Linked DNA regions of Macaca mulatta. The protein of the gene in region 3 interacts with the protein of the main gene of each other region in a biochemical or structural test. Links are inferred from orthologs where the notes say so. Each region holds a gene or a part of one and is shown on either strand. Other genes may lie near its edges.

Region 1 (3,650 bases), about 21 Mb from region 3:
CTGACATGTTTTGGGATTCAATAAACCTGCTCTATGTCTGAAGCAAAGATGGATGACTTCTTCCTTGCACACCCAAGGTAGTATGGTAGGTATTACTTAGGTTAATACGAGTTAACTTCTATTGAGCCAGAAAATGTGCTGGTACTTTACATATGTTACATTATTTATGTAATGTATGTAATTATTTATGTAACATATGTAAAGTACATTATTTATGTAACATACGTAAAGTACAAGGCCTCTCAGACTTGGCCTTCCACTCCCACCTCACTGACCTCAAGTCACGTGTTTGCTCTTGTTCTCTCTGATTAACCCCCCTGGTCTCCTTGCTACTCAGCAAACATATCAGACACACCCCCATTTATAAGCCCTTGAATTTGCTGTTCCTTCTGCTTAGAAAACCTTCTCCCAGATAGTCATAGGGCCAGCTCACTCACCTATGTGAGGACAGATTCAAACTTACCTTCTGTATAAGTACTGTGTACTAACTAATGGCATCACTGGAAACCCAAAAACAAACTACTGGGTACTATGCTCAGTACCTGGGTGACAGGATCAACTGTACCCCAAACCTCAGCATCATGCAATATACCCAGCTAACAAACCCAGAGAGGTACCCCCTGAATCTAAAATAAAAGTTGGAAATTATATATTAAAAAGTCACTTCCTAATTAGAACCTTCCCTGGCCATCTATCAAAAGTATTTGGATAATTTTCTGTCTTCCTCATTTGAAACAAGGCCAGAGATTTGGGCTGATACTTCATCCCTGGGATCTAAATCAGTGGCAGTACATAAAAGGTGCTTAAAGGTAATTATCGAAGGTGGCCACGTGCGGTGGCTCAGGCCTATAATCCCAGCACTTTGGGAGGCCAAAGCGAGCAGATCACTTGAGGTCAGGAGGTTGAGACTGGCCTGGCCAACATGGTGAAACCCAGTCTCTACAAAACATACAAAAATTAGCTAGGTATAGGGGCAGGCGCCTGTAATCCCACTATTGGGAGGCTGAGGCAGGAGAATTGCTTGAACCCAGGAGGTGGATGTTGCAGTGAACCAAGATCGCACCACTGCACTCCAGCCTGGGCAACGAATAGAGTGAGACTCTGTGTATGTGTGTGTGTGTGTGTGTACAGAATGATGAATTAGTGAAAGTCACTACTTATCCTTTATCTACCCTTCCTAGTCATCAGTGACAAATCTCTAAAATCACAACCCCGAAATTCCAAAAGCTGTTTTGCCATCGTGACCTAACTGTGCTCTTTCAACTAGCAAACCAAGTAGCTCCCAACTTCACAACACCTCAAATGGTATCAAGCAAACCAAATAAGGCATGGGGGTCTCGGAGTTCCAATATTTCTAATCTCTCAGAAGCATAGGGTTTGTCCCTTATACCTTACCTGGGCCACAGTGTAACCCAAGTGCAACACAAGTTATTTTTACAATGTACTTTTACAGCCCCTTCTTAGACACAATGATAGGAGCTGTTGGCTCTATTCAGCTCCATTCACCCTCCCCTAACCTCTCCACAGGTATCTTCAGCCATGTGGTCACCCTCTCGATTGCTACTGAAATGATAGAGTAGAACATGCAAAAGTCTACACATATCACCTGTGTGAGGAAGAACTGGAAGCTAAGACTCCTGATTTCTTTCATGAGATAAGTATAAGAAATGAAATGGCCTGTAGTAGGCCACCTGGACTCCTGGCGCCTCAGTCTGCTCTTCTCCGTGGTGGTGGGCATGGCTGAGAAGGGTGTCATGGAGTCCCATAAGAACTCTACCCATCTCCCATTTCTTGACATGATCTGGTAAATTATTTTACAGAATCATATACATGAAGTTTCAGTACATGTTCCCCCGCCCCCTTTTCTAAGCAGATCGCTACTCCTGAGTCCCTACAGCATTAAGATTTTGGTACTCACACTTGGTTGGCACTAATAATTGTCTACCTCAAAAATTCTATTTAAGAGAGAGAGGCAGTGAGTGAGAGAATATTTTCATTTCAGTAAATGTAGCTAGCACAATTTTGTGGGCAGCGGCACTCCAGCCTGAGTCCTGTTAGGCCAGGCCAGTCCACACTGGCAATTAACTGTGCTGAATTAAAGAAGCCCTTGGCCACCTGCCTTGTGCATGCAACAAGTTCCTTTTTTTTTAATCCTATTTATCTTCACAGTCATCTATTTGTGTCAAGAAAGGAAGCATATGAGCACAGCATCTGTTACTAGAGTGACACAATTACCAAATACTTCTATAAGGGAAAAAAATTCACAATAAATCCGGGTTAGTTGTCAGGTGTTTCAGAAGACAAAACATTAGTCTTTCAATCATGGTGTCTTGTTTAAGCTGAGCATATGGTGCTAACAGCAGAGAGGCACCAGCTCAGCCTGGTCGCTGACGGGCATAACAACCACAGAAATGTCACCTCCTCTAAATTGGCAGAGGAAAGCAGGTTTGTCTCCCCCAACCCAGCTCCTCCCTCCCTGTAATAAAGCAGGTACAAATTCAAGGGACTGCATCATTGCTGACTTTGTCCCAAGTGTTAGGACCCAAGTATATCCAATGGCAGGTATGGGAGAGTCCGTTACTTTTCCCAATAACTAATTTAGCAAAGATGTAAATAAATTCAAGCCAAAACAAACGGGTAATAATTCAAGGCAATTCATTATTCGTTATTTCCCCACTACCATTGAAAACTATGTAAGCTGAACGTCTAATTTGGGAAAATCCCTTACTTTTTCCACAATGAAATGTAGACATGTAGAAAACTAAAGGTGACCCTGTCAATATTGCAAATGTTACTTGTTTTACTTTTTTCTGGATACCATCAACAGGTCCATGGAATGCTTTCCTAAATGTGTATTACTTTTATGATTTAGTCTTTAGATTGGGGCGAGGGCAGAGAGAGAAGAGAGGAGAGAAGAGAGTGAGACAGGTGTTAGAGATTGAGACACCACATTACTCCCCAAGAGAAGTCACTGACAAACTGTAGGCAAGATACCGACTTGTTCCAGGGAAGCCCTGGCGTTCTCTATCTCCTGTCACTACTGCAACCTGGCCGACAGCGCTCCCGGCTTCGCTTCTGCTCTAGCCGGCTGCTGCCTCCGCGCCCCCGCCACGCGCCCAGGTGAGCCGCGCCAGGTGGCAGCGAGCCTTTACCTGCCAGGCTGCCCGGCCTCTGGAGGGTGGCCGTGGCATACAGCTCCTGCGAGTGCTTGCTGTACTGCTCGGACGCGTGGACCAGGCGCTTGGTGGGCGACAGGGTGGCGTACGTGCCGATGGTGGAGCTCAGCTGGTGGATGGGCGAGGAGGAGATGGTGGACTGCACGGTGGGGGGCGAGGTCACGCGGATCGGGGACAGGCCGGCCGAGGACACGACGATGTTGATGGGCGAGCTGGTGCTGTAGGACTTGGCCAGGCGGCTGGGCGACTGCTTGGGCGAGGAGCCGCGCGGCGAGGCGTAGGTGGCGCCCTCGGGGGCCGAGCCGCCGCGCTGCAGCTTGGTGGGCGAGCCGCCCTGGGGCGCGGCCAGTGGGGAGCCCCCGCGCGGCGGCGCGGGCAGCGTGGAGCTGGAGTAGTAGAGCGCGGCGGCGGCGGCGGCGGTAGGCGGCGCGTCGGGCAGGTGGAAGGCGCTGCCCAGGCTGGGCGCAAACGGCT
Region 2 (3,650 bases), on a different chromosome or scaffold from region 3:
CTCTACACCCACTCCTGCTGCTGCCCTGTGGTTGGTCTGTCCCCAGCATGAGCCCCTTACCCTCTCCCTCCTGTGTCCGAGTGCAGGGCGTTCTGCTCATCATTTGTCAGCTGTGACGACCATCCAGGATCTTCCTGGGGACCGAGGAAAGTGGGAAGTACAGGAAAGAGAGACTGAAAGTGTCAGGACTTTCAAAGCGAGCCAGATACTTGGTGTCAGGATGGACTGGACTAGGAGAGGCCTTTGGAAGGTGTTGGATTGTAAGGGTGAGCCTGAGAGGAAAAAGGATGATAAGTGCCTGGGAAAAGAGAGAGGAATACAAGGGAACACTTTTTGTTTGAGCCTCATTGAACCAGGAGATCTGCAGATGAAATTGAGAGGAGTAAGCAAGTTGGAAAGGGAAGCTTGCTAGATAGGCAAATGCTGAACTTGGTTTTAGGCACTCAGTTAAATGACAGTTGGCCTCCCAATCAGAGGTGTGATAACAGTCTTTTAGGGAACAAAAGACCGTGTGCAGAAGGCAAATGTCAACAGGGAAAGACACCTCTGAACATGGCTCAAAAGAAGGGTGGAGTTGGGAGATTGAGAAGGAGGCAGACATGGAACTTGGGGATATGGTTGTCCCCAGGGAGGGAGTTGGGGCATCTGTTGTCATGCCAAGGATCTGCAGTAGTGAGAAGTGAGGCTCAGGCGTCTTGGGTGCAGCCTGCACGGCAGCAGCCCTGAGGAGAAACACTGGGCCGGAGCCTCATGCATTGCAGTCGGCATGAAGTCAAATCCTCAGCAGGACTGAGAAAGGCTCTGCATCCCGTCATCTGGGTATTCCACAAACACTCTAGAATCATAATTCCCTCTTCAGATTGTTTCAAGTTCCCAAAAATAAAAAGTAGTTCTTTCATATTTCCCATATATTTCCTGTCTGCAGTGTTCAGTACAGAAGTGTTTTGCTCTAATGTGCTGAGTTGTTTTTAATTATATGCCATGCTGGGTTTCAGACAGTGGAGAACTGCGTGTGCACCCTGAGGAACCTGTCCTATCGGCTAGAGCTGGAGGTGCCCCAGGCCCGGTTACTGGGACTGAACGAATTGGATGACTTACTAGGAAAAGAGTCTCCCAGCAAAGACTCTGAGCCAAGCTGCTGGGGGAAGAAGAAGAAAAAGAAAAAGAGGACTCCGCAAGAAGACCAAGTTAGCATTTTATCTGATATGAGACTCACGTTTCATTTTTCTGGGAGTGAGGAATCACATATTTGGCAAGAAAATAAATTTTCTGCATAGCTATAGCTGAGTCCCGCAAAGGTGAATGTTTTCAAGTATTGAAGATCATGTTCATTCTGCCTCCATTTAACATGTGCTATTTGTCTTTCAGTGGGATGGAGTTGGTCCTATCCCAGGATTGTCAAAGTCCCCCAAAGGGGTTGAGATGCTGTGGCACCCATCGGTGGTAAAACCATATCTGACTCTTCTAGCAGAAAGTTCCAACCCAGCCACCTTGGAAGGCTCTGCCGGGTCTCTCCAGAACCTCTCTGCTGGCAACTGGAAGGTAGGATGACTTCCGCGTATCTACACTTCTTTCCATCTTTGCAAATTAACTTGAAATGTTACATGTATATGTTCTGCCTCAGTCAGATCAGCCCTGATGATGAAATGGTCACAGTTACTTAGTTTGTCTGTGAAGGGGGTAAAGGGAAAAAAGGGAGACATGCAGTTGCTCTGGGGATCCAAAGATAAATACAAGTCCCTCACTGTGAGAAACAGAAGGCTAGTGAGAAAAATAGATGGTGCCAGCACAGTGTAGAAGCCACAGGATGTGTGTGTTGTGGGGTCCTGAAAGAAGACATCTAACCCAGCCACACAGTGTAAGGGAAGGTCAGGAAAAATGCGGAGTGAGGACATGGAGGAGATTTCCTGAAGGGGATGCTGCCCAGCAGAATCTCTAAGGATGAATGAAAGTAAGCCAGTAGAGGCTGAGGCTGCAGTATAGAGGGAGCCATCCAGATAACAGGGACAATAGGAGGAAAGTATCGCGGTGCAGAGAAGACAGTGTGGGCCAGGACTACTGGCTGCCCTCTGGGGCCCAGTGTGGAGCCAGGCATCATGGATAGGCCTGAAGGCCAAATTTCAGGAGCTGAGTCCTAACCTGCACACAGGAGGGGCTACTGAAAGAGTCTGGGCAAATGAGTGACAGAGACGGGCTAATGTCATCACTGCTCACCCACTTACATGGCAGTGCAAAAGGTGGATTCAAGGAAGGGAGAGTTAGAAGCAGGGATTGCATTTGGGAGCCAGTGCAGCAGTACAAACAGGTGAGAGATCTTGAGTGGCAGAACAGAACACAGGTTGGGCAGTGCTGTGGGGAGGGATAGAGGACCTCACTCTGTTCCTCTCAGGTAGTTACAGGCATGCCTGTGTCTAAGGTTTCTGCATCTCTTTGCAGATGTATGACTATAAAAACTGAAGACAGTTTCCTCTTGTTACCACTGTAAGCAAGTTCTCAGAACTTTCTAAATGTCCCCCAGCAACTTCCCAGACAGTCCTTGTCTAAGACATTTTCAACCTCTAGAAATTTCCTGACAGGTGTATTTTGTAGCGTTTACGATGCTTGCTTTTGGCTACTTATCCCACCTTAACCCCCCAAAATGAGAATCTTTTGGTGATAGTGTTTTCAAGATAGTGAAAAGAATTGATAAACCTAGGTATGGTTTGTTTCATGCAAGTGGCCACTATGTTGAATATAGACCGATAACTATGGTCTAGTGCTAAGCCAGTATGGTGATTTTGTTGTGGCTCCTAGTTAAAGTGCCAGTGACTCCATGTGTAAGTGCTGGCTCTGAATCCAGGCAACTCTGCTTACCGTCTGGCAGCCTAGAGGCTCTGCCCACAGTTTCCACCTCCCTAAAATAAAGCGAATATTAATACCTGCCTTATAAGGTGGTTGTGAGGATTTAGTGAGATACTCCCAGCACATAGGTATTTATATAAACATTTATGTTGTAGAACAGCCTTCACCTTCAGCTTCTGTGACCAGAAGATTATTTGATGACACTAAAAAAGACAATAATTGAAATCGATGTGATTTGAGTTGTTTCGAAGTTCGTGTCTGGGATCATTTAGTGAGAGTTAGATGGCAAGCTCATTTAAAATATAAACATTATATCTAAGCGATTTCAATAGTGAGTTAAAATATTGGACCTTCACTAAGAAAATGAGATAATCGTGGCCACAAGTGTTATCAAGTAAGAAGCTATTTCAGGAGCAGCAATGGCTGTAGTTCTCCAGAAGGGAGACAGACTGGGCTGGGCTGAGCTGGGCTAGGCTGGGCTGGGCTGGGCTGGGCTGGGCTGGGCTGGGCTGGTAGGTCTCCAAGTGAGACAGAAGGAGATGGTTCTGTTGTTGCAGGTTTCAGAGAGAGAAGTTCATAAAACTGCCTGAGTGCTTTGCCCAGTAACAAGTCAAGTACTTCATTTCCCCCCTGTAGACTTCATTTGATTTGAAAAATAGGAGTATGCATTTCATATGCAGAATATAAATAGGATCTTTGAAATGCATCTTTCCCTCTTATTTGTATTATTAAAATAATCTATTCTGTTGGTATTCAAGAAACTGGATGGTCAATCACATATTTTAATGTTCAAAATAATACAAAGGCCT
Region 3 (3,650 bases):
CCAAAGGACCAAGTGATTTCTTTAGTTCCGAATCAGAGCCCTTGCTACTGGTCTCCGGTGGGTTCTGCCGGGAGATGGTCAGTGTCATGCTTGAGGGAGACTTGGCCATCTGGGGGAGGAGGGTGCCGGCTTCACTTTGGTTTTCGCTGCAGGAACTCAAGCTGCGTCTCAACGACCTTGCTGCTGCATCACCTGGGTGGCCCAGGCTCCCTGAAACAATGCTGCCGGAAGACCGCCTCCCAATGGGAGGCTTGGAGCTCACCGACAAAAATGGAGAAACCCCGGACTTGGCTACAGGCCGGTCAGCATTGGCCAGGTTCTCAAAAGACTTGATCCGCTGCTTCACAGAGAAAAATGAGGTAGATTCGTGGGGCCAGTTCTGCTCATAGCAGTAGTGTCGTCTGGTGACTTTGATTTTGTCTGTGACTAGGCAGCTCGTCTCCTGGACTGAAATGATATCCCCTTCATCTGTGGCTGGAAGATTCCTCGATGTTTCCAGCAGCGGCTTTACACTATATACGCCCTGTCCGTCAGCCAGGCTGGGAAGACCACCTCTGGATGCCTTTGCCTCGGGGACAACACTGCTTGTCACAGGGACGTGGCTGTCACGAGGAGAGCGACCCAGACTGTGTGGGGGGTGACTCTCCCGTCCAAAATGGCTTGAGAACTGGGCTGGCATGGAGTAGGTCCTGGTTGCTGGCCTTGGGGTGAAGTAGAGATGGTCCTCCCCCGAGGGCCCCCCTAGAATGCCACTTCTGGGCAGCCCTAGGGAGTCTGACATCAGGCTTGATTTTCCCTGGGAGGAATCTGCCTTTCTAATGGGCATTTGAGGGGAGGAGGAGGAGGAGACCAGTTTCGCCACGCCGAATGATCGTGACATTTCCTGCTCCGCCTGTGGGGCATGAGACGGGAGTGAGGACGGGTGACTTGTGGATGATTCTGTGACCTGGCGACAGAGCCTGATTTCACTCTTCTCCTGACAGTTGCCCTGGGCCAAGCACCCTCCCTGTCTGTCACTTTCAGCTGGCCTGTTACCACATACAGTCTTTGGCACTGTTTCAGCAGAAATCTCCACAATTTTCAGCTGGTTTGTTCTTTCAAGGCGATCGCTGGCCACTATGCTGCCTCCTTTTTCGCCAGTTGGCCTGGGTTGGGCTGTGTCTGCTGCCGAGTCCATGTGGCTGGCCAGGTGCTGCTCACTCTGTCTGTTCCCTGCCACGGACACGCCGTTCCTAGATGCTGTGGAACTCACCGGCCCAGAGTCAGCACGGGGCGCCCTGCCCTCTGCTCCACACTTAGGAGATTTAGGGGTGGCTGGGCAACCTCTGTCAGGTTCAGAGAGGACAGCCACGTGGAACCTGCTCCACACGCCTTGCTCAGGAGGAGGCTTGGGAGAGGTCAGGGGCGACACGAACATCCTGATGCTCGTGTCAGACACTGAGGGTTTCAGGGACCCAGAGGTGGCAAGAGGTGGCTTGCTGTCCAGCACACACTGCGGGGACCTGGGGGCGGCTGTGGTGTTTCTGTCAGGGTCCTCGCGGTCGGCTGCATGGAGCCGCTGTGACACCACCTTAGAAAGTGTTTGGTGGGAGGTCTGGGGTGAGATCAAGGGTTTCCTGTGGTCCGTCCCCCCAGCCTTCACGGCGTTCGCAGCAGGGGCCTCGGAGCTGACTTTGGCCTTGCCCTTGAGGCTGAGCCTCTTCAGCTTCGGACCACACTTTGGCTTCTGACCGTTAGTCGGAAGCACTTCTGCCGGACTCTTCTTAGACAGGTCCTTATTTTCCAGATTGGTTTTCGGCTGAGGAGGGCTAGGAGGCACAGCAACGCCCTTTTTTTGGCTTGAACTCACTATCTGAATCTTGGAGTCGGGACTTCTGACAGCCATCAGAGGTTGTTCCTTCTCGGTTTTGCTCTTCAAATGTGTGCCTTGGTTATGTTTATTTATTTCTTTGAACCAGGCCATGATGGGCCTCCTACCCATCATCTTGGGTTTCTGTAGCAAGTCATCGAGGTCTTGACTTTCAGAGATGTGGAGGTTTTCCAAAGCAGATTCTCCATTCTTAGGGACATCCACACTGAAGGAGGACAGACTGGCAGCTGCATTAATGCTTGTTTCGTACTGATTCAGGGTTTCATCATCTAGCATGTCACGTGCCAAGCCGTTTACCATGTTGGGGGAGCTGAGAATGATGGGCGCACTGTGAAAATGCCTGGCTACTTTAGACAGCTGACTGTTTTCCATGGCTGAGCTAGCGCTGGTGACTTCCGTGGTTTCTTCTGCACACGAGGGCCTGTGGTTCTGTGAAGCGCTTATGTTCACATGACTTTCATGCTCCTGAGAGCTCACTTCCAAGAGTGAAGATGGCTGGGAAGAGTTTGGGCCTGAAGTGTATGAGGCTGGCAAGCAGGCAGCCTTCTCACGGGGACTGGCCACTGACACTCTCGGAGTGCTGTATTTTAATGATAGAACTTTGGCTGAGGCAGGACAGATGGCAGCCTGGGTGGGAAGATGAGCAGGACTCGAGGGTGGATTGGGGCAGCCATTTGTGGAACAAATTTCAATCTGTTCCTCTTCCGACTCCGAAGGATCTTCCTTGTGCAAAGACACACGGGAACGAGGAGGGGACCAGCCGTCCCTGGCGGAAGCTCGTGGGGCTTCGGTGAGTGACTCAGGGTCAGAAGAAGAATCCTCAGCATCGCCATACATGGATGACAGAGACGGCTCCGTGCTATCGCCCAGGCCTGATAGGGAGGTGCTGTCTTCATGAAAGCTGCTAAAATTTCTAGAGTAGTTGCTCAAAAAGTTTTTGTTCACAGTAAAATGTTTGTCGGGATTAACTGAATCTAAAACCGAAGGCTGGGAGGCCCACTGTGGGTGAGGGGGGGCACCAGCAGCCCAGGCCCTCCTTGGGGAGGAGGTCTGGCCCCCTGTGACTGGTTCGGCACGGCAGGAGCTCCCACCTCCAGCCCCGGCTGGTGGCCGGCCCTGAGCACTGCCCTCCTGACAGCCACTGTCCCCCGTCTGGGAAGATGGAGACCTCGCTGCAGAAACATCCAACTCCTTGATGAAGCTGTCAATGTCCGTCACAGGGCTCTCTCCACTCCCCGCCGGGCAACACTGCCCCGAGACACGGCCACATGCTGCTTTGGTGTTGTCAGTGGATGGCAGAAGGGAGAGGCTGGCCTGCGGTGCCTTTGAGGACACAGAATCTGCTCCCTCCAACAGGGAAGGCTCCTGGGAGCTTTCAGGTGCACGGGTTCCTGTCATTTCCAGAGCCTTACTGTGGTTACCCGGAGCTCCCTGTCTCTGCTCCTGGGATGTGAGGGGGTCTCCTGGCAGGACAGCCCCAGCTGCTGTCACTCCCTCTGCCCCAGGTCCCGCTCCCCTGAGGAAAGCCGCCCTCCTGGTATTGTGGGGTGTGCTGGTTTCCGATGCTGATCGAGTCTTGCTGCGGTCGGGGGGAGCCACTGCTTTCTCCCCCAGGGAGGGGCTGCCCTCATGGGGCAGCCTGACTGGAGACCTGGCCTTGTACTCGGCGACCCTGGGTGATGCAGACTGACTGGGATTCTCCGGCCGACTGACTCGCCCTGTGTCTACAGAGGTCTTGCTGGGGTCAGGATAAGCGGCCCCCTTCTTTCCTGGGGAAGAG

What was found.
Region 1: the proteins of PDZD2 (region 3) and CTNND2 form a complex in vitro, tested with the Homo sapiens proteins (2 studies listed by BioGRID and IntAct, with this or other methods). The link is inferred for Macaca mulatta from reciprocal best matches to the Homo sapiens genes PDZD2 and CTNND2.
Region 2: the proteins of PDZD2 (region 3) and PKP4 form a complex in vitro, tested with the Homo sapiens proteins (2 studies listed by BioGRID and IntAct, with this or other methods). The link is inferred for Macaca mulatta from reciprocal best matches to the Homo sapiens genes PDZD2 and PKP4.

What each region holds. Positions count from the first base shown.
Region 1 is NC_133411.1:12,535,764-12,539,413, forward strand, and holds part of CTNND2 (catenin delta-2), read right to left. Parts: coding exon 3,153-3,650; intron 1-3,152. UniProt on the Homo sapiens protein: Has a critical role in neuronal development, particularly in the formation and/or maintenance of dendritic spines and synapses. Involved in the regulation of Wnt signaling.
Region 2 is NC_133417.1:63,526,928-63,530,577, forward strand, and holds part of PKP4 (plakophilin-4), read left to right. Parts: intron 1-995; coding exon 996-1,187; intron 1,188-1,368; coding exon 1,369-1,542; intron 1,543-3,650. UniProt on the Homo sapiens protein: Plays a role as a regulator of Rho activity during cytokinesis. May play a role in junctional plaques.
Region 3 is NC_133411.1:33,459,906-33,463,555, reverse strand, and holds part of PDZD2 (PDZ domain-containing protein 2), read right to left. Parts: coding exon 1-3,650.